4 linked regions of the Schizosaccharomyces pombe genome follow. The protein of the gene in region 1 binds, or shares a complex with, the protein of each later gene. Each region holds a gene or a part of one and is shown in the gene's direction. Other genes may lie near its edges.

Evidence for each region.
Region 2: nuf2 (region 1) and mis12 share a complex: the UniProt entries of both Schizosaccharomyces pombe proteins name them as parts of the NMS super complex.
Region 3: nuf2 (region 1) and spc24 share a complex: the UniProt entries of both Schizosaccharomyces pombe proteins name them as parts of the NMS super complex.
Region 4: nuf2 (region 1) and mis14 share a complex: the UniProt entries of both Schizosaccharomyces pombe proteins name them as parts of the NMS super complex.

Annotation. Positions count from the first base shown.
Region 1 is NC_003424.3:4,321,020-4,326,364, reverse strand, and holds nuf2 (protein Nuf2), read left to right. Parts: upstream 1-3,141; 5' UTR 3,142-3,157; coding exon 3,158-4,483; 3' UTR 4,484-4,845; downstream 4,846-5,345. Other genes in the region: SPOM_SPAC27F1.05C (aminotransferase), read left to right, coding at 1,259-2,713; ubiquitin hydrolase Uch1, read left to right, coding at 4,890-5,345. UniProt on the Schizosaccharomyces pombe protein: Acts as a component of the NMS (Ndc80-MIND-Spc7) super complex which has a role in kinetochore function during late meiotic prophase and throughout the mitotic cell cycle.
Region 2 is NC_003423.3:1,136,025-1,141,722, reverse strand, and holds mis12 (MIS12/MIND complex Mis12), read left to right. Parts: upstream 1-2,104; 5' UTR 2,105-2,195; coding exon 2,196-2,975; 3' UTR 2,976-3,192; coding exon of another isoform or gene 3,193-3,355; 3' UTR 3,356-3,520; coding exon of another isoform or gene 3,521-3,606; 3' UTR 3,607-3,658; coding exon of another isoform or gene 3,659-3,667; 3' UTR 3,668-3,970; downstream 3,971-5,698. Other genes in the region: SCF ubiquitin ligase complex subunit Skp1, read right to left, coding at 918-938, 984-1,351, 1,426-1,473, 1,527-1,575; protein Swi5, read right to left, coding at 3,193-3,355, 3,521-3,606, 3,659-3,667; NifU-like protein nfu1, read left to right, coding at 4,134-4,916. UniProt on the Schizosaccharomyces pombe protein: Acts as a component of the NMS (Ndc80-MIND-Spc7) super complex which has a role in kinetochore function during late meiotic prophase and throughout the mitotic cell cycle.
Region 3 is NC_003423.3:2,752,204-2,759,888, forward strand, and holds spc24 (protein Spc24), read left to right. Parts: upstream 1-3,222; 5' UTR 3,223-3,301; coding exon 3,302-3,455; exon of another isoform or gene 3,456-3,502; coding exon 3,503-3,838; exon of another isoform or gene 3,839-3,968; coding exon 3,969-4,075; 3' UTR 4,076-4,101; coding exon of another isoform or gene 4,102-5,604; 3' UTR 5,605-5,668; coding exon of another isoform or gene 5,669-5,779; 3' UTR 5,780-6,557; coding exon of another isoform or gene 6,558-7,031; 3' UTR 7,032-7,185; downstream 7,186-7,685. Other genes in the region: transcription factor TFIIIC subunit Sfc3, read left to right, coding at 1-2,731; RNA polymerase I general transcription initiation factor subunit Rrn7, read right to left, coding at 4,102-5,604, 5,669-5,779; tif512 (putative translation elongation factor eIF5A), read right to left, coding at 6,558-7,031; GARP complex subunit Vps52, read left to right, coding at 7,436-7,685. UniProt on the Schizosaccharomyces pombe protein: Acts as a component of the NMS (Ndc80-MIND-Spc7) super complex which has a role in kinetochore function during late meiotic prophase and throughout the mitotic cell cycle.
Region 4 is NC_003424.3:3,112,082-3,117,039, reverse strand, and holds mis14 (MIS12/MIND complex Mis14/Nsl1), read left to right. Parts: upstream 1-2,493; 5' UTR 2,494-2,627; coding exon 2,628-2,677; exon of another isoform or gene 2,678-2,763; coding exon 2,764-2,911; exon of another isoform or gene 2,912-3,040; coding exon 3,041-3,475; 3' UTR 3,476-3,588; downstream 3,589-4,958. Other genes in the region: glutathione S-transferase Gst3, read left to right, coding at 245-973; SPOM_SPAC688.03C (AMMECR1 family protein), read left to right, coding at 1,714-1,937, 2,067-2,424; cwh43 (glycosylceramide biosynthesis protein), read right to left, coding at 3,740-4,958. UniProt on the Schizosaccharomyces pombe protein: Acts as a component of the NMS (Ndc80-MIND-Spc7) super complex which has a role in kinetochore function during late meiotic prophase and throughout the mitotic cell cycle.

The DNA of each region.
Region 1 (5,345 bases):
CAACATTGTAAACTGGATCGGACTATTCAATACCAACAAATACGATAGATCACTGTGTTGGCTTTGCGACACATCTTTATTTCCTCTTTCATTTTCGGCTACACCAAGTTCGGCCAACATTCACTCCGCGGTATCTTTAGATTACAAAGCTGAGCCGAATACGGGGATCTCAAAGTATATCAAGATCTACGAGATGCGCAGTGTGTAGAGAGTTACAGATTATAGCAGGAATGAAATTTCAATTTCTATCTCTAGGAAATTTAAGGCTCGGCGGTATTATCGCGACGGTCAAAAGAACTGATCGTTATATGAATATGAGATGATTTAATACATTTTATTAATTTTGAATTTATTAGATAAACTGATTCAGACAGAAAGCTGTCATTTATATCTTATTGTGACCTTTATAATTTATAATTTATTTATTTATTTTTGCTTTACAATTTATTATCCTAAAGACTGTATACGACAAGTGACAAATATTATTTTCATTTTTATCGTTTTAATATATCTATATTTATTTTATATTTAAAATTAAATATCCAGACACAGCTGAATGCCCTTTTTTAAACATTTTCCAATTAATTCATAAATAAATAAAAATTATTAAAAAAAAAACATGTAACCTTTATTACATAGATATCCACAATCAACACCAGTTTTATTTCAATAAATTAAATCACATAGTTTGATTCAATCTAATCTTTTTAATTAATTATTATTATTATTATTTTTTTTTTGCTTACTTTATCCTATGTAAAATAGTTCTGCGCAATCATTTGTTTCTGCTCCAACATTATTATTAGCGCCAAAGCTTTTTTGAACTAAATACACTTCATTGCATGATATTTTTTCTTGAATTCTTATAATTGAGACCAATTCTGTAATGATCAAATATTAGAGTATATCTTCTTCTCGGTTCTGCCCGTCGGCCAACTCGAAGGCTGTAGTACGCTAATTGCTATCTGGGCAGTACGACTTTGATCGGGGGATGTGAGAGAGGTAATAGCCATTTTTCGGTCAAGTACATAGGAATATGGCATTGATGATTTTTACTATATATATAGGCTAAAGCTGCCTGTGAATGCCAACAATTGTAAAAGGTTAACATTCATTCGACCTTTTCTTCAATCTAAGGAGTGGATTATACAAGGTAACCATATACTGTAAAGATTCATTTGGAAATTACATTTAAGAAGCTTTGAGTTAAGAACTATCTTTCCTGCTCGTTTATTTACGTTAAATTTACGCACTTATCATGATTGATTCCACGTCCACTGCTACTGCTACCTCAAAGACGGTTGAACTTAACACAAATGGTTCAAAAACCGATGCCTCCTCCGAAAATGGAACAGCCAGCAATTATCCTGAGGGTTTGTGGTGCTTCGACGAAGCCATGAAAATGGACCCAGAAACGACTGTCAAGTTACAACTCGACCACTTAAACAAGTTACGCACTGTCCATGGCCACGCTCGCAATTTTGTGAAAGCTGATAATTCTCGTTTTGTTGATGAAAAGGGTACTGAGCATCTGGACTTAATTGGAGGCGTTGGAGTCGTAACGGTCGGTAACAACAATCAGTATGTTTGGGATTGCTTACAGAAATGCTTTGATGCCAAGTTATATATGATGGGTGCCATTTCCTATCGTAACCTTGCAGCTGCCTTTGGTCGCAATATGGCTTTGCTATCTCCTGGTCAAAAACTTACTCGCACATGGACTGCAACCGGTGGTGCTGAAGCTAATGAGGGAGTTATTAAATTGATTCGCCTTGCTACCCGTTATAAGCCTAACAAGAAAAAGTTTCTTTCTACTTTGAACTCTTTCCATGGTAAAACCACTGGTGCCGTCTTTTTAGGCGGCAAAGAAAAATGGCAAAAATATCAAAGTCCTGCTCCTTTCGACGTTGACTACGTCCCTTACGGTGATGCGGAAGCACTTCAAGTTGCCTTATCCTCTGGTATGTACCGTTCATTCATTGTTGAGCCTATTCAAGGCGAAGGTGGTGTTATTGTCCCTCCTCCAGGTTATCTTGCAAAGGCTCGTGAACTTTGCACTAAGTACGATACATATCTCGTTTTAGACGAAATTCAAACCGGTTGTGGTCGTACCGGTAAATTCTGGGCCTGTGAATACGAAAACATCATTCCGGATTGTATCGCTTTCGCCAAAGGATTTTCAGGCGGACTCATTCCATTTGCAGGGTATATCGCTACAGAGGAGCTTTGGAATGCTGCTTACAATTCCCTTGAAACGGCTTTTCTGCACACTGCCACTTATCAAGAAAACACTCTTGGACTTGCCGCCGGTGTTGCTACCATCGATTATATCGTGCAAAACGACCTTCTTTCTAGATGCCGCAAGTTAGGTGGTATCATGTTTGATCGTCTTAATAAACTTCAAACAAAATTCCCTCATGTTATGAAGGATGTTCGTGGTCGAGGAATGATAGTTGGTATTGAATTTTATCCCATTCCTGAGTCAGTTCAAGAAGAATTCGGCGAATACTATGCAACTCCTATTGTCAATGACCTTGCCGATACATATCACGTCCAAGTCTACTGTTCACTCAATAATCCTTCAGTTTTCCGCTTCCTTCCTCCTTTAACTATTCCAGAAGCCGACTTAGACGAAGGTTTGTCAGCCGTTGAATCTGCTGTTGCAAAGTTTGATGCTAAGGTTAAGGAAGCTGTTGCAGCCAAGTCAACCTAAAACTTTGGTTTCATCTATCATTAGCCCTTTCAGGCTTTTAGTAAAGTTGGGTCATCAGGCATAAATGTTAATTTTTTTATCTTCTTATCTAGTTTCAGCTTTTATATGCTCCTTATATTGTTTCTTGCTTACATGCAACGTTTGAGATAAACCATCGATTGTAAAATTATATAAACTATATAGAACTATTTTAAATCAAATCGTTCACTTTTTAAAAAAGATATATAAAACGGAGTTGTTAATTTACTATGTATGACAGAAGAAAAACTTATACGAAATTCAGCTTTGTTCTTGATTTTTTAAAAAGAATGAAAAATTGAATATCTAGAACATGCAACTAAATAAAAAATTTAAATTTTATTTTATTATATTTATAATTAAATTCACAATCAAAGCAGATTAAATACGTAAAATCCAGTTGTTCAGTTAACCATCAACTTTACCATGGCACGAAAACACACATTTCCTTCTTTGAAGCGTGCTGAGATTTTAGAATGCATAGATGGTCTTGGAATTCCATTCACGGCTAAAGAGCTTGACCAACCAACCTCGAAAGCCGTCATCCCTCTGTATGAAGAATTTCTTGACTTGTTTATGGGGTTGACCCGCCAGAATTTAGAAGAGAAGGTTAATTCGTTACAAGATTCTGTCGAGAATTTCGAGATAATACATGAGTCTTTAAGATTTACTGTTTTTTATCAGATTTTAAGTCAATTCATGCAAAACATCTGTTTTCATGACTTTACGATTCAAGACCTATTGAAACCAGACAGAAATCGACTACAACTAATTTTATCAGCAGTTATTAATTTTGCAAAACTCAGAGAAGAGAGGTTACAGCAATTTGATGATGATATACAGAAGCGAGAAAGCCTTCTGGAAACGTATACCCTTTTAGATGCACAACGAAAAGATTTAGAGGAAAAAGTTTTGTTAAGCCAAGATAGGAAATTGGAAAGTGAGGCAATTATTAAACAGAATGAAGAAAGAAACGAAGAAATGTTTCAGTCTTTGATAGAAGACAAACGATTGTGCTCTCAAGTTCGTACAGAATATGATCGCATTAGAATGGAGGCCTCAGAGTTAAAGATTAGGTATCACAACGTCGATTCATTAATGGCCAGTACTTTGGAAGAAATTGAAAAACTTCAGTCCTCTATTGTACATTCTCCTGAAAAGCTGAAAGGAAAGATAGCAGACACATCGTTACGGATACAAAATGATCGGTCGCAGCAAGTGGAACTGGATAAAAAGTCAAAAATTCTGCATACAAAATTGAACAGTTTACAGTTAATTGAAGGAGACTTGAATGCTTGTTTGAAAGTGCTTGAAGAATGTCTTGTAGAATTGGATAAACTGGAACATGCTACTGTGTTGCTTTCTACAAATCAAGAGCTTTGCGATCAAATAGAAATAAACAAAAAAAAACTTGAGTTCAGAAAAGAACAACTTTTAAAGCAATTATCTAATGCTCAAGAAAAACTCGAGCATGAACAACATTCTCGAAATCAAAAACTTGAGGCTGCCAAACAACGAATGGACAACATACGGGAAGAATACAAAGTAATTACCCAAGAAAGGAATAAAAAGATTCAGGAGACTGAAAAGAAAAATGCCATGATAGAGATGACCGAACAAAAAATTGCTGGAATGCGAGAAGAACTGGAGTCTCAAATATCCTCTATAACTATGGAATTCGAAAAATTGAAATCGCACGTGGAGCTTTATATTGCTGAACTTCTCAGAAACTTAAGGTCTTCTAACTCTTAGTATCTTCATTTTGAAAAATCTTTATTCGTGCAAATATTTCAACACTACCTATAAGAACGTTGGTTGGACTTCGAAGCCAGAATTTTAGATTTTACAGTAAATGTATATAGGTAAATCTTGGTAATTATTAATATTTTATGACTCTATTTATAATATACCTATGGAACAATCCCTATTTTTACAGTCATCTTCATAGCTGAACGTGACAGGATATTGAAGTATAGGATACTGATTATAGTAAAGCTTTTTTGTAGATTCCCAAAATTGGCAATCTAAAGATATTCGATTAACTTTGTCAAACTTTGGTGTTTTGCCTCTTTGCTGACTTCTGAGACCTCTGCCACGCCTTCCAAACCTGATCAAAAAAGCCTCAATTAGAGCCATTTATCATTCGAGAAAAATTACAATGTGGAGGCCTTTAGAAAATACACCAGAGGTGCTGGAACCTTACTTACAAAAAATCGGTGTACAAGATGCTAGCGTTTTTGACCTGTTTTCATTAGAGGAAATCCCCGAATATATCCCTCGTCCTGTCCATGCTCTTTTATTCGTTTTTCCATCCTCAGGAACAAAAACTATATATAAAGGATCACGAATTTTACCAAAGGATAGTGACAAAGTCTTGTGGTACCCTCAAACAATTCCAAATGCTTGCGGAACGATTGGATTGCTACATGCGGTTTCGAATGGAGAACTTAGAAGAAAAGTCAATGAAAATGATTTTATTAAAAGTCTAATCAGAACTGCTGAAGGTTCATCTATCGAAGAAAGGGCTAAGCTTATCGAGGATTCGAAAGAACTTGAAGCTTTACATGCAGCATTTGCTGGTCCACCTTTGGAAGTAGAGGGGTCTGAGGAAGAT
Region 2 (5,698 bases), on another chromosome or scaffold:
TCATAATAAAAAATCAAATTAAATTAAAACATTAAAAGACTAAGGGGCATATAATTATTAATTGTGCACGAAAAAAATATAAAAATTAAATAAACTGTTCCCCAAAAATTGAAATGTTAGGATTCACAAATATTATCAAGCTATATTGAAGGGATGAAAACCGTTGACTAATTATCTAATTTTATTTATTTGCTAATTGTAACGAGTTCAAAAATTCTATTGTTCTATACAAAATTTGTAATTAATATGAATGTAAACTAAATTCACGCAATCATTAATTGTTAATTTGGAAGCTTGATATTATTACGATTCGCATTTTACATAGCTGCTGTCACTATTTTTAAGAAAAGAATCGGATTTTTTTAACAATTCATTGTTTAGCGCTATTATATTACAACACTTCTTTTTTTTTTTTTTTGTTATAGTAAACCGCTAATGCAAACTACATAGGACTATTAGCTCCAATCGTTCACCATATTGAATGGAAGAGTAAAGATAATCTTATTGATGAACATCCCTATTTTGTAACAAGACAAAAGCAAGCTTTAAGCAATTCGGGATAGTAAGTTCAACTTTCTAAATCGTAATTCACATACGTACTTAAAACAACAGTAAAAGATAACGAAATGTGCTTTGTTGGGATAAAATATGTTCATCAATGTACATTTGTATATATGCGATAATGAAATTGATTTGCTGCGACTTAATACGACCAGTGTTGGTACGTCAAGTATCAAGTGATCGCACGCATCGTGAAAACTTCAGTAGTAAAAAATCATCAGTATACTTTATATCAATTTTTTTTTTATAAAAAAAAAAAGGCGCATGATGAGGTGGATGGGAAGATTCCCATTTTACACTGAAAACTACACTTAATGATCCAAGGACAAAAAACTTTATACACAAAAAGCCACAAACTATCTGTCTTCGGCCCATTCCTGCAAGCGGTTAGAATTAAGTTAATAAAGTACCAAGGAACGTACATTTTCTTTACGGATTTGCTCTTCCTCCTCAGGCGTAAAATCATTAGGGATGTTAAATGTTTTCCGAATGTCCTCAGGACTCTTGCCACGAATCATGTTGGCAACGGTTTTACAACCAGTATCAAGCAAAGGTTTAATATCCAAATAATTGCTTGCCAAAACTATCTCGAACAACATTTCCTGGTCTACGGCCATAAACTTACGATCCCATTCATCAATATCGGTAGACTTTTTTAATCTAATGTCACTTTCCTCCTCAGTTCCTGAATACAAATCGTTTTTGTGATGCTCACACCATTCGAGTACCTTTCGCAAAACGTTCGATGATACGTTTGGAAGAGGAATGGGGACATTAATCTCACCAACGTCTATTGAAATTGAGATTTTAGTAACAGGGTCCATAATAATTATTGCACTCAACAAGCGCTTGTATAGATCATACCTTCAAGCATATTTTTTATAAGCATACTTCTCTCAGCGATCAGTTGATCTATAAACAGTTTGTCAATTCACTCAATTCAAAACATTCTCCGTTCTACATACCGACCACGAACTCTTCATTGTCAGATGAAATCAGTTTGATTTTGGACATTGTTGATGTATGTAAGTAATGGATGAATGAAAGTTAAGCTGTTAGCATTTCTAGTTATGCTGATATTCCTACAGTGGCAGAACTCACTAATTCGATATTGGGAAAAGGTGCTAACCCTCATTAAATCAAATTGCATAGCAGAACGATCCCACCGTGATAGCTAAAAAAGGCTACTGAAGAATAATAAAAGAAAGCATAGAAATTGAGGTTTAAGATGAGTCCGTACTATTAATGTATAATTCGAATATAGTTAATATTAGTGTATTCCTCCACTAGAGCTTAGTTGAGGATATAGAAACTCTAGTAATGATTTACCAAGCACAAATCAAAAGCCACACTTCTAAGCAACTAACAAAATAAACCGACTAAACTGTTAATCGCCTGAGTTATATGTTCCTCACAGCAATAAAAACAGCAACAAATCTATGTATTATTCATACTTTTTGATGGGATATACGGAAATCCCTTTTACCTCGTTATTATCATATCTGAGTACACCAGACAAAATGCAACATGGGGTTGGTACATTGCAGAACAACTTGCCGTTTAAAAATCATAACTCACTAGTTTCCTCTTTGGAAGCTAATCAGTGTTTTCAATGTAAAGGAATTAATTAAAAAATGTTAGTGGAGTTACTAGAATTCACTCCTCTCTCCTTCATTGATGATGTGATCAACATTACGAACCAACTGTTATATAAAGGTGTAAATGGTGTGGATAAAGCCTTTTCACAAACGCGGTTTGCTAAAAAAGCGCCACAGGAAATAGAAGAAGGACTACACAAGTTCGAGGTTCTCTTTGAAAGTGTGGTGGATCGTTACTATGATGGTTTCGAGGTGTATACACTTCGAAACATTTTTAGTTATCCACCAGAGCTAAAAGGCTACATGCGTACGTTTGGAAAGGATGTAGACTATTCAATCACAACAGAGCAAGACGCCGCCATGGATCAAGCAATTCAAGAGGCTGCAGAAAAACTCGTAGTAAAGATGCAACTACGTCGTGACCTTCGCATGCGTCTCAGCAGGAAAAGAGAAAAAAAAACAGAAATAGAAAAGCATTTGGAAAGAATTTCTTTTCTCAACAAAGTACCCGAAAATTGGCAAGTTACTTTACCAGAAACTACCGATTTCCTTCTTGATCAACTTGGTAATCTGCAGCATGCCGTTAAAAGAGTAGTTGAAGCCTCTCCCACTGTACACTCACGAGAGGTGGATGAAAGAATTACCTACTTAGAAAAAGGTTACGAACGATTATCTAATCCCATCGACCAGCAAAAGGATTTTTGGTCACATCACTTGTCAAAACTAGAATCGACAGCCAATACTGAAACTGCAAATAACATTCATAAGTTGCTATTGTCATCTGAAAAAGACGTCGGACATACTGACGAGCCTTAATACTAATCAACTAGCTAAAGTCTTGAGATGTTCTAACAATTGTGATCGTTTACGTAAACTTTCATAATAAATATATAAGAATTGGCGTTGGATCTCTAGCGAAAGCAAAGTAATGCTTAATAAAGAAAACTTGGATTGTCTCTGTCACTTTTTCCGTTACATTTTTATTTGTTTTGTTTAACTTCTCTTTTTTCCTAAATAACTGAATGGATAATAATTATTCTGACCCATTAACTCCAAATCTGTCAAACAATTCGACACTTGTACATTTTTCATGCTCTGCCACTTTGCCAATCATTCCCAAAGCAATATCCCGTATTTCATTATAGGTATGGAGTAGATCGATATGTTTTTGTACAGTTTGCTTAGCATCTCGATTTCTAAATCATTTGTCAACATTAGATAAAACGAGACAAGCTTGATGATGACTTGAATAGATTTGATGGAACGGCAATACATTGCTTTTCCCAAAATGAACCTGAACGCGCGTAAAGGCGCATAACTCATATTTTCTACCATTTCTAGCATCACTTTACCACACTTACTTTAGCTTAGCTAAAGCGTCTTGTAAACTACTTTCCAATTGCTCCTTCTGCTGTTCAAGCAAATGGACGCGTGACTCAAGTTGAGACTGCAGTAATTCATCAGTATTTTGTGAATGAACAATGGTACCGTTGGCTTACCTTTTCCATACGATTTAAACAGTTCTTTCTTAATGAAGCAATGATGTGTGAAATTTACTAGGAAGGTATCTGTTTTTGAACACCTAGTAGAAATTAAGTTGTTGAGGAAGGCAGGAGCCTACCGATTTGTTCAATTGAAAACAATGTCTATTGTTCTTGTAAGAGAGAATTTAGATTAGTGATGAAAGACAAGTAAATTGTTGAATCACGAACAATGGCTTATTTCAATATAATGAACTTCGCTAATTTGTATAAGAAAGTATAAGGATCACATCGGTTTTCGTATGCCCATGTACAAATTGCCTTCTTGCATGTATTTAAAGAATTGCTTACATTAGCATTTCCTGATTTAAAAATTGTTAATAAACATTTAAATTTTCCCATCTGTTTGAAGTGTATACTTAAGAAGTTTCAAATTCTGAACTTGTCTTAATATTTTGTCTCTTATTGGATAAAGCACGATTTGATTCCAAGCATGTTATTTCCTAGAGTTGTGCCGTTTCAATCTTTAAGGACAGCATTCCAAAAGAAAACCTTTTTACCAGTATCTTCAGCTGGTAACGTTTTCACTCCACGTTTCCAATTGCAAGCAATTCGCAGCATATGGATCCGATCGGAGGAGACACCGAACGAAAACGCTTTGAAGTTCCTGCCAGGGCTAGATATCTTGCCTCCAACTATCGGAAGCTGTGAATTCATGAGAGGACAAGGAACTGTGAATTCTCCATTGGCACAGAAACTATTTGATATAGATGGAGTTGATAGCATTTTTTTTGGAAAGGACTTTATTACTGTTTCCAAGGGAGCAGGAACTGAATGGGCTCAAATGAAGCCAGAAGTGTTTAGTGTAATTATGGAGCATTTAAGTAATGGAAGCCCAGTACTCTCTGAAGAGCCTCTAAAGGGGGCTAGCGATACTCAAATATTAGAAAGCGACAGTCAAATTGTTGCAATGATTAAAGAACTGATCGAGACTAGCATTCGTCCATCTATCCAAGAAGACGGTGGTGATGTGGAATTTAGAGGGTTTGATGAGAAGACAGGTACCGTTTCTCTTAAACTTCGAGGTGCATGTCGAACCTGTTCGTCATCAGCTGTGACACTAAAAAATGGAATTCAGCAAATGCTGAAGCATTACATTCCGGAAGTGGAAAATGTTGTACAAGTTTTAGATCCAGAAGAGGAGGTTGCAATTGCCGAGTTTGAAAAATTTGAACAGCGCATTAACGGAAACAAACAGAAAGCTGATAACAAGTAACTTTTTCCATTCAACATAGGGAATTTGGTTCATTTAAAAGACTTTGGTGATAGAAATTAATAATTGACGAACAAAACGCTATTTATGAGTTTTAAGAAAAAACAGCAAATAACAATGAATATTTACACTGTATTCGATAAAAAACACATACTACTATATAAGACGATTTGTTTAATCATATAATGTTACTTTCTTGGTTCATTTTCGACTGCAAATTTTATGTACGAATAATGAAGATGTGTATCATATAAACTACAGGTTTCATCAACACCTGTATTATTCAGAGATATTTAAATGTTTTAATAATAGCGAGGGTACATATTTATGAAATAAATAAGTAAAAATTTTGAAATACTGTTGGAATGTTTCGTTGATGTCCCTGTACGCAGATGACTATTTTCGAAATTTGAAAAGGAGAATTGATACACAGAACGGAGTTGAGTTAATGTTAGCCTTTGGCTCTCTTTTGCTTAAAAAACGATACTCGAAAAATTGACTAGTTAGAAAAGGTGGTAATGCATTCGTATATTTTCAATTAAGCTCTAGGTTATTAAATAGGTATACATAAGCGAATTATGTTTGGAGTTGGGAGATTGTATCAGCGTTACGAAATATTCGTCAATCATTTCATCTTTGCTAATTGCTGATTAACCAAATGATGAAGTTAGTGCTGAGCTTTATTTGTTTAAAAAACTTTGAGTATAAGCGAAGCGATAGATTTGGAATTGAAGTGGTGCACTGATACTCGACAATATTCCGTACAGTACATTGAAAAGTCTGAT
Region 3 (7,685 bases), on another chromosome or scaffold:
AGATGGCATTCCTGCCGAAACAATTTCGAAGCTATTACCTCACGTTCACTCACTCGCTGGTGAATTTTCTCCAATTGACTCTTCCCTTTTCTTAAATTCTCTACATCATAAGGGAAATATGGAATCTAATGCGGAAGTATCTCCCGACGGAATGACTTTATTGCCAAGAAAAAGAGGTAGACCTAGAAAATCTGCAAATATTTCTGTAACCTCATCTCCCATTCGGCCCTCTAAAAATGAAAATAATCTACCTTCCCTTGCTATTTCACCAGTTTCCGAAGGGTTCATCCAAAATGCTACAATTTCTACCCCTAGCACTAGTAGCAACCTAAGCATAGCAGGATCTTTGACACCCTCGAAAACGTCACGAATTTATAGAGGCCTTGCTCCTCTAAAAAACCCAGAATTTAATGAAGACCATGTTAAAAAAGCAGAACATTTGGAGCCTCTTTTGAACGTGTCATCAAGTGTTCCTTCGAAGAATTTCACGGTTAGTTCGCCAGATCACCTAAAATATGGAAACACATCTTCTTTACAAGTCTCTGATTCTCAAAGCTCAATTGATTTAGACTCTTCATTTCATTATCCCGTTTCAGTAGACTCACAATTATCCCATTCGACAGGCAGTCTAATGGCTAACTTTTCATCCCCTACGAAAAAGCGCCGTTTGGAATCTGTAGACTTTATATTCCTACAACGTAAAGGTTTAATTCTTTCCTATCTCGTTGAACAGAATGGGGCTTTTGAAATATCTCGAAAGATGTTTGAAGACTTGGCAGACCTTAAAGTGCGACGAAACCCGGAAACTTCTAGGACCGTTATGGATAGGAGAACTTTTCAGCAAACCCTTGAAAAATTAATGCAAGAGAAAAAGGTTCGTAAATTAGTGATTGCAACAAACAATGGACTTGGGAAGCTCGTTAGAAAAGATATCGTGGTACAATACGATATGAAGCCTGATTCACCTAGGTTTCAACAGTTAAGAGCTCAAATTACAACTCCTGAAATCGAAAAACAATCAACTCCAGAAATATTAAAAGATGTAGATGTCGATTTTTTGAAAAGGAATACTTCTTTGTCAAGGCGTAAATCTATGCCAGCGGAAATAAAACGTCACAAGGAATCTTCTGAGACTAAACCTGTTGATAAAGAGGAGGTGAAGAAAAATGAAAAGGAGAAAGACGATCCAATGAGACTCGCGCAACAACTTTTAGAATCATTGGCTCCCGATTTCGCACTGCACGAAAATACCCAACAGAAAAGCCCAGTAGAAAAACCTAAAAAGTTGCGGAAAGATAGATACGCTTCAGTGGAGGAATTTGATTATTTTTCTTCAACTGAACATGCAAGCAAACGTTCAGTTAAACGCTTCAAAAATGATTTTACATCAGATGAGGATGAGACCTTGATTAGAGCGGTTGTTATTACTCAAATTTATTATGGTGGGACCAACAGATTAATCAAATGGGAGGCTGTACAGAAATGCTTTCCTAACCGGGACATATATGCTCTTACTAGAAGATATTTATCCATTAGACAACATACAAAATTTAAAGGCTTGCAACAGTTTTTATCAGAAAATTGGCAGCAAATGTACAAAGATGCTGTCTCAAGAAAAGATTTAATGCCATATCCTGATTCTGTTGATGATTTTGATCCTACCCCATATGTTAAGGCGTCTTGTAGACCTTATATGATTAGTTCTTCAAATCTTGCTACTACTAGGTTACCGAGAGACCTCGTTGACGTTTATGAAACTTACAATATAGAGGTTGTTAAACAAGAAACTAATTTCCGGGAAATGATATTTGATCCTTCCCTGTCAGTTGCCTCGAAAATGAATGCGTATTGTGATATGCCTTTTACCATGCCGCTTTCCTTAAATGACAAACAAAATAATGAAGGGGATGAGAATTGTGAGAAAGGTCAGTTGTTTGATGCGAAGTCTACTATCAAGAGCATCGTTGCCATCCCAGACGCTACATATGATGCTCGGTTTTCGCAAGAACGTCTTATGCAGTATCCAGAAGATATTCTCATCGCTGCTCATCAAGAATTATTGGATAAGAGAATAATTACTAGAGTTAATTCAGAAAACAGTAGATTGCAGCCTGGTCGAAACTTCCAGTTTACGGAGAAATTTGCAAGTTCCCTCAAGTCTCCTTTACCTCCATTTTTATTGTCACAAGCCAAGCGATTTAATAAATTTTTATTGGAGGGTTTTCAAAATCATAAGAATCATTTATTTGAAGAAACATCTAACAGTGGAACTCTCGCATGTATCCTTGATTTATTATCTCAAGGAAAGTTGCAAATATCTATAGTCGGAAGCAAGTTTAATGAGTATGGTCTATCTGAAGGCTATCGTACTCGTTTGCTAGAACATGACAATATCAATGTAACTCTTGTTCTCAGCGGCAAAGAAAGTGAATCTAAAAAAAATTATGGTGTTACTGAAAAGTTGGCAACTCCACCTTCGCATGAGCCACGGCTATGGTTAAATGGTAAATGCGAGCTTATTGAGATGATATGGATGAATATCGAGCAGTCCATTGTATACCAACTGCTTCGAAAACCCGGAATCTTGAGATCCCAACTGACTAACTTACTATTTCCCGGATTAGAACCCCGTGAGTTTAACGAAGTACTTGATTACTTTATAGCAGCAGGTGCCGCTATTGAAAAGGATGGCTTATATCTAAACCATAATTATCTCTTTAAATTAACTTAGCCTTTTAAATGTCACCATGATGAGATGATGCAAGCTGAGTATTTTCTTTCAATAGGCTTGTCGATTTGGAACATTTATATTACAAGCAACGATTTAATGTTTATTTGTACAGTATTTAGGATTCATTTTTAAATTATCTAAAAGATACCACGCTGTGTCTGCTTCTAATCTATAATTAATTATATTAGCGTGTTTTGAATTAATCTGATTTCGCGTTTTCTTCCATCTAAACTTTATATCGTATAAAAATCAAAAAGGTTTCATCGACTGTTTTGCTGAAAAGGTGAAGAAAACTTGAATCGAGGTTATCTCTTTTCTTTCTGTTTTATGTACATAACTTTAGCTCCTATAGAAAAAAGAAAAAACCTGCATCATGTAGATTTGTTTAACTAATTTACGTATGCATATATATATATATATATATATATTAGTAGAGTAAGGTTGATTTTCTAACCATACTTTATTTACGGTAGCATCATTCGTACCTTTTCGTACGTTACGACCACGTTGAAAGTTTTCAAAGAAATTACTTTTTAAACACAAAAGAACATAAATAAAAGAGAAGTAAATATGTCAGACAGTCCAATTGAACTTATGCGGTCCACGCTTGCTGGTTTTCAAATTGCACCAGATGTGAAAACCATCTCAAACATTCAAGACATTCGCGCACAGATACAGAGCTTCAGAGAAAAAGAATTGGAAGGATCTCAAACCAAATTTAAAGGTTAGTTTTAATCTAGAAATAAACGACCATGCATTAACTGTGAATAGTGCTTTCAAGAAAATTAGAAATATCTACCCAGGCTATGGAGTCATTAAAACAAACAGCAGAGTCATCACAACACGCTGAGGAGATTTTAAGCAGGGAAAAGGAGAAATTTAGGATAGCCAAGTTGTTGAATATCACTGAGAACGAAATTATGAGTTTAGAATCTCAATTGCAGAAAATGAAGGAACAGCTACTACAACTTGAGGAACGCGAAAATACTTCTGAAGACATATGTCAGTCAGAGGAAAATGCGAATATGTTAAAGCTGAACTTTTATCATTCTTTAGGCTTCGATTTAGAAACTGCTGAGAACACTGGGAATAAAAGGGTTATAATACGTATGTCATTTGCTCATAATTTGAATTTACCTTTCAATTTTTTATCTTTAAAAAGCTTGATGATATGAAAAATTCAAGCTTTAAAATTGAACTTTAAAACTGTTTTTCGAATCTACTCACACTTTCCTAGATACCGAAAACGATTTGCAAACGGTACAAATCAGCAACAAGTATAGCCCATATTTTTATTCTAATTATTTTTGGGATTTGCTTGATGATAGTAAGGACAAAAAATAGATGGCACTATTATTTTATTTATTTATTTAATCTTGATTGTGTATACCGGTTTTTAAACATGACTCAACATAACGAATGGCCGCTATAAGAGAATCCAATTTGATATTATACAATTTGGCTACCATGATAGTAACCCGATGAGCTGTATTTTCTGTATTAGGTGAAAAAGGAAGCATTGATATATAAGCATCCTTTCGTCGTGAAAAGTCCATTTTATCAGACTCTTTAATGCCTACAGGTTTGAACACTTGTTCTAACTTTACATCTTCAGCAATGACGGATTCGTCGGTGAGTATATCTGTAGGTTGATTTTCTTGTAAATGGCTGTCTTTCGAAAGAATCGGAAATACGTTAAGAATTCCTTCTGGAATATTATTTGGGTTGTTTTCTTCGACAAACTCTTTTTCATACCATTGAAAATATTTATCCATTTCAGAGTTATTGAGCGTCAAAATGGATTGCTCGTCTATCTCGTAGAACTTGTCTTTTTCTTTCTCATTAATTTTTTGCACTTGGGATAACCACATGTTCCAGTTGGTTTTAACAGTGAACATCGAGTCTTTGTATTTGGAATTTCGAGTTTGGGCATCATCAAACCCATAACATACATTTGCTGCTACTAAGATGGTAGCGAGTAACATAACCTCCGCATCAGATAACTTTTCATGTATCGATTGAGCACTGCGTATTTTGCTTTGATAATTATCGCTAGAGGTACCTTGAAGTGAAATCTGCGAGTGAACGAGATTTAGTAAACGAGAAGCAGGTATGAAGATTTCTAAGGGAAAAAAGAAACTGTTAATAAGCTCAAAAAGTATCAATGGCTCATTAGGTGGAGGAACTTTTAGTTCGTATTTAGATACTAAAACGTCAACCAATGTCAAGACAGCGGATTGTATGCGTTGATACGTTGGATAATGAAAAGGAATTAGCATCCTTACATAGTTTTTTTGAAGCCTTTTAAATATTTTTAGAGGTATCTGTTTATACGCTCTATAATATGGAATAATATTTTTCCTTATTAAAACTTCGAGTTTATGAATGGTCAGAGGCAGTCTTAGTAAAAGACAGGCGACATAAATAAAGGCAGAAGAGTATAAAAGCCGAGGATAAGATATAGAATGCGACTGAGAAGTTTCCTTCGTTTTTCTTGAGCTCGGATCAGCTCCCGGTTGACTCTCAGGATCTATGAGATCAAAATCCGAATCTGATGATTCTGATTGCGTTGAATTTTGGTTGAGGGAAAGAAAACTAGAAGTAAATGATTCATAAGACAGGGAAAGGTAAAGCGCCCAAAGGTCACGTATCATGCCTTCTATTCTTTGGTCAAATCCGAGTTTCGTAGTTAACGCTTGACATTGAAGTTGAAGAATAATTTGAAAAGCCTGAAGATATAAGCTTCTACCAGCGGTACCATAAACAATCTCATCTTCATCTCCAGTGTCTAGATGGTTGCGAACAACCTTTCTTTTACGAGTTTGATAAAAAGTCCCTGCACCAGGTTCATCATCTTGAGCGATTTCAATTCCCTAAAATTTAACAATTTTATTAATGAACATTCATTAAAGCGCAAACCTATTAAAAACAACTTACATGTTGAGCATGACCACGACGACAAAATGTTTGACCTGCATTTTTAAAATACCAAGTACTTTTGCAGTTTCTTACAGAACAAGGCGGACCTTCAAACCAATTGCCTTCCATTGTAAAGGAACTGGATATGCAAATAGATGCAGACTTATTTAAAAGTACAAACAGTGAACTATAGACGAAGAAAAATAAGAGAACAAAACACTTAAAGGGTATTCAAGTAGGTAAGCATTTGTAAAAAGATCTGCACAGTTTCTAACGGTGTTGTTATTTATAAACTGCTATGCCAGCATTTTACCAATATTTTGGAAAGTATGAATCGACTGAAAAAACCTAACAGATTTTCTTTCAGCTGCGAAATACCGTTTATATAGTTTTGGATAAATCCTTCACAAATGTATCACAGTAGACTGTTAGTCAGTCAGTAGCGATAGGCAGTTTTTGAGATCTAACGGGCGCCACGTTAATACATATGAGTTGTAACGGCTTGGTAGATAGTGCATACATTGATTAACTATTGTGAAAAGCCATTATATAAAAACTGCAAGTCCACTCTAGATTATATATTACCTCGGGTATCCAACCTTGAGACATAAAGGTTGAAACTAGGATAAAAATTGAGGAAAGTTAAAATAGGCTGAAGAAAAGGTGCTACTGATACATTTAAAAGAGAAAATAACAGCCATCAAGCAGTTTGATACATACCCGTAGTACGAATATATAACCATAATCTAATTTATCTTAAAACTATCAGATATATAAGAAGTCTTACGTTTACAGATTCCAAAGAACATTCTATTTACAAAAATCGTTAAACAAACAATGAATATGGTAAAGGAGGAGCAAAACTTGTTTACTAAACGACCATTTTTAAAGGGAAGAGGGTTTATATTTAGGCGCTGGGAGCATCACGGCAAGCGAGAGCAATCTCTTCACCCATGGCAGAGACAACGGTAATGATTAAATCCTTACCCTCTTCAAAGCCCTCTTCAATTTCGTTGCCGAGTTCGCCTTCGGGAAGACGAACATCGTCCTTGGTAGTACCATCGGTAGTCATGAGGTTCAAGTAGCCATCATCAATGTTGACTAGTTGGTATTCGTCACGCTTGACAACAGGAACGTCCATGTTATGAGTAGAGGGAGACATATCTTCGTACTTGCGACCATTGAAGATATCAAGGGCAACAATGTGGACCTTGGCATGTCCGTGCTTACCAGTCTTAGAGGTGGACATGTCGACGATCTTGCAAGGACGGCCCTTGATGACGACGTGTCCGTTCTTACGCAAAGCAGAGCATTGCATAGGGAAGGTCAAAGAGGCACCGGCCTCACCACCCTCGAAATCGACGTGTTCTTCTTCTGCCATTGTTGGTTTATGCTCTTTCTGTATGAACATGCCCATCACTTTCCCATTTGTTAAATGTGACTACTTTTTCCATGTGAGATTGCTTTAACCCTACCCTAAAGCAACCAAACTAAGTGCAGTGAAGTAAAACGTAATACATGTTATTTGAAGTATACCTTTGCAACGTTAAAATTCGTAAAGTAACTCATCATAATTATTTGACGTATCGTTAGATTACATTAAATTGTTCAGGCTTAACACTGATGGAAGCGCCGAAACCAGGGTGATAAACAACACCTAAATTAAACTTAACCCTCCTTAACTTACCAAACTAACTATTTGCAGGATTATACCTTCCATTTGTTCTGGGATGCAGCTGTCACGTTGAGATATAACATCTATAGGTACAGTATAATAAGTCCGGCATGCAGAGAGCTTCTACCCAGGATGTTTATGATGGAAGTGGTGATGATCTAAACAAACTTGATTCTCTCAAGTCAGTGTTGAATGATGTTCTGAGCTCTTTGGAGCGATTCCAGGTGGATCTGGATGTCGCTACTAGTGATATCTACAAAGTCAGTGAGCGCTCAAACAAAATTCAAGTAAATTTAAACAATTTGAAGGCAGTGGAGTCAGCACTTGGAGCAGAGATTGATGGTGCGATTCTTCCACCTG
Region 4 (4,958 bases), 1.2 Mb from region 1:
TGTTATTTCATTCCTATATCTACTGTATCTTTTTCTTAAGCAAACATAAAGTGTTTTGCGTATTTGTTGCATACGCCACTATATATTTCGGTGACTGACGTGCATATGAGGTGTAGACGCAGCAGCACCCATATATACATTCCAATTCCCACATACTTCCCTTCTTTGATCGAAATTATTGCATCTTAGAAAGTATTTATTTTGAGTATTCAATTTGATTTTGTTTTTATTTTTGTAACCAGATATGATTGTTTTACACCACTTAAAGAACTCTCGCTCTACTCGAATTGTATGGATGCTCGAAGAACTCAAAGTGCCTTATGAAATCAAAGTTTATGACCGTGTCGACGGACGTGCTCCCCCAGCGTATACTAAGTTGTCACCATTAGGCAAGAGTCCTATCGTTGTCGATGACGGTGTCACTTACATTGAAAGTGCAGCCATTTTGGAGCACCTGGTCAGAAAGTATGGACCGTCATTTAAACCCTCAGAAGAGGATGTTGCCGAATTGGAAAAATATGAATTATGGATGCACTTTTCTGAAGCATCTCTTATGCCATTTATTTGGGCAAGTCATGTTTTGGATCTTAGTGTGAACATGACTCCCATTTTCTTTCGTTATATTGTTCGCCAGTTTGTGAATGGGATAAAATCCAAGTATCTAAGTAAAGAAACATTTTTGAACCTTGACTACATTGATAATCACCTCGCATCGAACGAATACTTTGCAGGCGAACAGTTCACCGCTGCGGACCCGCAGATGTGCTTTCCTATATTTGCTGCTCAAAGAGATTACCTATCTCAGAAACCTTACAAAAATATTAAGCGTTGGATGCGGGTTGTCAGTGATAGGCCTGCATGTCGAATTGCTGCTGAAAAAGTTGAAGACAATACGTTGACTTTGTTTTCTGATGTGGAAAGGTACTCCCATCCCCCTACCCCTCCTCCCGAGCAAGTTCGCTCTGATGAATAAGATTTCTGCCGTGGCTCTTTTTTTCTTAAGCAAGTCGGCTTGAGACATACAAGGCTTCAGCAAGCTTACTTTTTTATTCTGCTTGTACGGAACTTATGCTGTTAATGTAGATAATGATTTGTACAATAACTAGGATATTGTGGTAACTACATAAAAATTTTTGCGACACCCCTTTTGAAATGATTTTCCGATGCAAGAAACAAGGCTTCGGTGCTTAAACGCTTGGACTTTTCTCTCTTTATCTGTCTCCCTCTCTATACATATATATATATATTATATACGCGTATACATCTAGTTTTGTGAATGGGAACATGTTACTGTTATTTAGTCTGAAAAAGAAGTTATGGTTACAAATCTTGTTTTTGATTTAATGTTAATTTATATATGACTACTTTTGAATTCAATAAGTTTTGCTGCTGTTGCATGAATTGTTTAACTAGGTAGTGAAAACTTAGAAGAGTATTTATTTTGTAAAGAATGCTTTAGTGTACAGTTAAACAAGTTCTCCATTTTCTTTCACTTTATGACAGAAGACATAAACAGGGCCCTACTAACTAACTTTTTTTAACATGAAACATGAAACAGTATAATGAACTTGGACGTTATCGTAATCACTTACAACGTATGATTTGTTGGCCATCCTTAAACAAAGAAAGTTGGAATGATGTATGAATAAAATACCATGGCTTACAAATTGTACCGAAAGCGTCCGTAGGCAATTGCTACTACCACTAATATAAATGGACAAGAAAGAGTATTGTTATTATTGCTTTGAAGTAGTTGCTGCAACTTTAGAGCATCGAAAGGTCCGAGACAAGTGGAATGCAAAGAGTTGGACCCGTAGTATCCCTCTGTTCGTAAAGTTTGCATCTGGAAAAGGCCATGATAAACAACTACGAGGTTGCATTGGAACTTTCCGGGCACGTCCTTTAGTTACAAATTTAACATATTTCAGTAAACAAGCGTAAGTGTGTCTAAAAATGGTTCATAGTTCGTTGTAGGCGTCAATGATAAATCATAGACCTTCGTATGAAATTGCCGATGAAATTGAAAAGAAGAGTAACCGAATGCTAATACAACATTTTAAAAATAGTGCATTTTGTGATGAACGTTTTCGTCCTATCTCCTTGGGAGAATTGGCTCTTTTAGAGTGCCAGATAGACTTGTTAGTCGACTTTGAACCGATAGATGATCCATTAGATTGGGAAGTTGGCATACATGGCGTGTCTATTAAATTTACGGCAAATGGAATTCGTTATTCTTCGACTTATCTACCTTCTGTAGCGGCTGAACAACGTTGGGATCAAGAGGAAACCCTAGAAAGCTTGATACATAAAGCAGGCTACTATGGATCAATACGTTCTTTACAAATAACTGCTACTCGCTATAAGTCCTTGGAAATCGGGTGTACTTATGAAGAATATCTTCATAATTTGGAGCTTCTGGGATAACCTGATCTATATACAATGGTTCTTTTCTATCTATTTACATAGCGTAATTAAGCTATCGCTTAAGTTTTCAGCCAGTACTATCACATCCAAATTCTTTTCAGACTAATGATTTCTATCTCTCAGCTAAAAATTTAACTTTCTCTTAATATATTCTAATCTATTAATCATATATTCTTAAAGAAAAACATTTCTTTCTAGCATTCATGTCGTCTCACGGAGATGCTAGCGTTTTACCAAAAATTGCATTGGAAAGGTGTGTTTCATAATCCCATGTAGTTTAGAGCTTTTATTTATGCTTTTAATTTGAAATTAGAAAATCTGATTTTAACACTTTATAAGTATCAACGATTACAGTTACGTAAAATCGGTGTTTCGTCAAGCCATACAAGAAAAACTTGCTATTCATTTACCAGAACAAGCTTCACGGGAAGCTGGAATGGGTCGTGAAGACCAATTGCGAATTCGAGTCAAAGAAATGTTAAACGAGGTGAGTATACAGTACACGCTTCTAATCAGCCATAAAGTCGAAATTCCATAGCAGCTTCGATTAAAAAAAATATATATATATATAAAGTAAAATGAGAGACCTCTTCAATTACTAATGCTTAACATATAGCTGATTGAATCCACTTTCTCAATAATACAAGAAAACGTTACAATCAATGGCTTTGATGCAAATTCAGCCTTGCAAGATCCAAAAAATTCCGACCAAATTGAGCCATTTGATCTGGCTCTTCGTACTCGAGTCCAACAATTATTCAATGAAGTAGAAGATGCTCATGTCCTAGTGGCTCGATACCGAAAGTCTGTACCAGCACAATATGAAAAGGCATATGTTGATGCGATGGAGCAACAGACCGCATTTTTAAGAAACGTGAAAGATGACTATGTTTCTCTCCAAGATAAAGAAGTAGAAAACCCGGATGAACAAACTTCGACAACTGTGTTTAGAAAAGAGGACATCGACCGATACGAGCAGACTATTGCTAAAGTAGCATATTTAAAGAAAAATCTCCCTAGAGTAGTTGCCCGATTGGAAAAAACTCCTTAATCATTAATAATTTTAATATACGGGTAAACTAATATTAATTTAGTGCTATTTCATCTCAACTTATACTTCATTCCAACTGCTCACCAGAAACAAACCGGTTGATTCATAATGTACTAATCTTAACAAATCTTATTAATCAGTGCATAACTGCAGACAACATATTAAATAGTTTATCAAATTCGTATAATGCTTATATTGATTCTAATTATATCAGTCTTTTTCTTTTCAAAACCATGGAAATTTAAATGAATCAAATTTGTGATTTTAATCATAGTACCACGGCTCGTGAACAACTAAATTATTGTCATAGTAATGTCCATTAACACCCGTTCCTTCAAATAATGATGGATACCTGTGTGATTCAGGAACGTGTTCCTTGTCGATTCTGACGTTCCTACCTAAATCTTTGGTAACCAAAAACTTTCCGGTTTGAAGCTCGGTGTCTGTTATAGTAGAGCGATGAAGTCTAGCATAACCAATTCGCTTGACACCTCGATAAAATATATACTGACACCAACGATCATAGTCAGCAGGTTCAATGTCTAACATTCCCGTGTCTCGCGTTAGAATAGTTTGGGGTTCTTGGCCAACGTTTGAAACAACATATCCGAGAAACACTAGAGGCCTTGGACTCTCGCGCATAATTCGAGCCAACTCAGTGCTCTGAAGACGTCGATCCAACTGACTTTCATATTGACCATTGTGAGAAACCACAACATCTATTAGCTCTCCGTAGACATCTAGTGTTGCATGAATAGCAGGAGCAAGTTCTCCTTGAGGAGAAGGTAACAAATGGTGAGTCGAGTTGACAATAGGAAATTTGGAGAGTAACGCAGCGCCCCAAGTATGTTTATCAGGGCCTGGGCCATAATCCGCATACATTCCTAGATCATGTGCTAAAACCTGGGTTAAATCTCGAAATCCCATAATTAAACGTTGTGTGTCAGATTCCAGTAGACCAAAGACATCAAGTTCCATATCTCGAACAGCATCGCGTATACGATTCTCACTTGCATACATGAAATTGTCTAAGCCAAAGTGAATAGTCCAAATACCAGCAGTGAAAAGCTTTTCATTTGGATGGTAAGGTGTATAGTCATACGGAGGCATATTCTGAATGGCAAATTTTAGGGCCATAAGAGCCAGACAAAAACCTGTCAATAGTGATTTTTTGAAACTTCTTCTACGATAAGAAGAATCTGATTGTTTGATATCTACTACAGATGAGTCTGCTTTGTTGGGTTCTTTGGACTCACCCGAATACGCAGGTACTAAAGCTGCAAGGTTCCAACCAATGAAAATTAGAATGTAAGAAGTTCTCTCTCGAAGAATGGGTCCACCTGGAACAAACTCGTAGGCTACGACCCAAACATGAGCTAATGAGTAAAGGATGTAAACCAAAAAAGCGCCACCCCAAACCTTCGCAGGAGAATAGAAGGAGGAAATTCTGATAGAAGCGAACGAGTAAATTAAAACGTAGGAA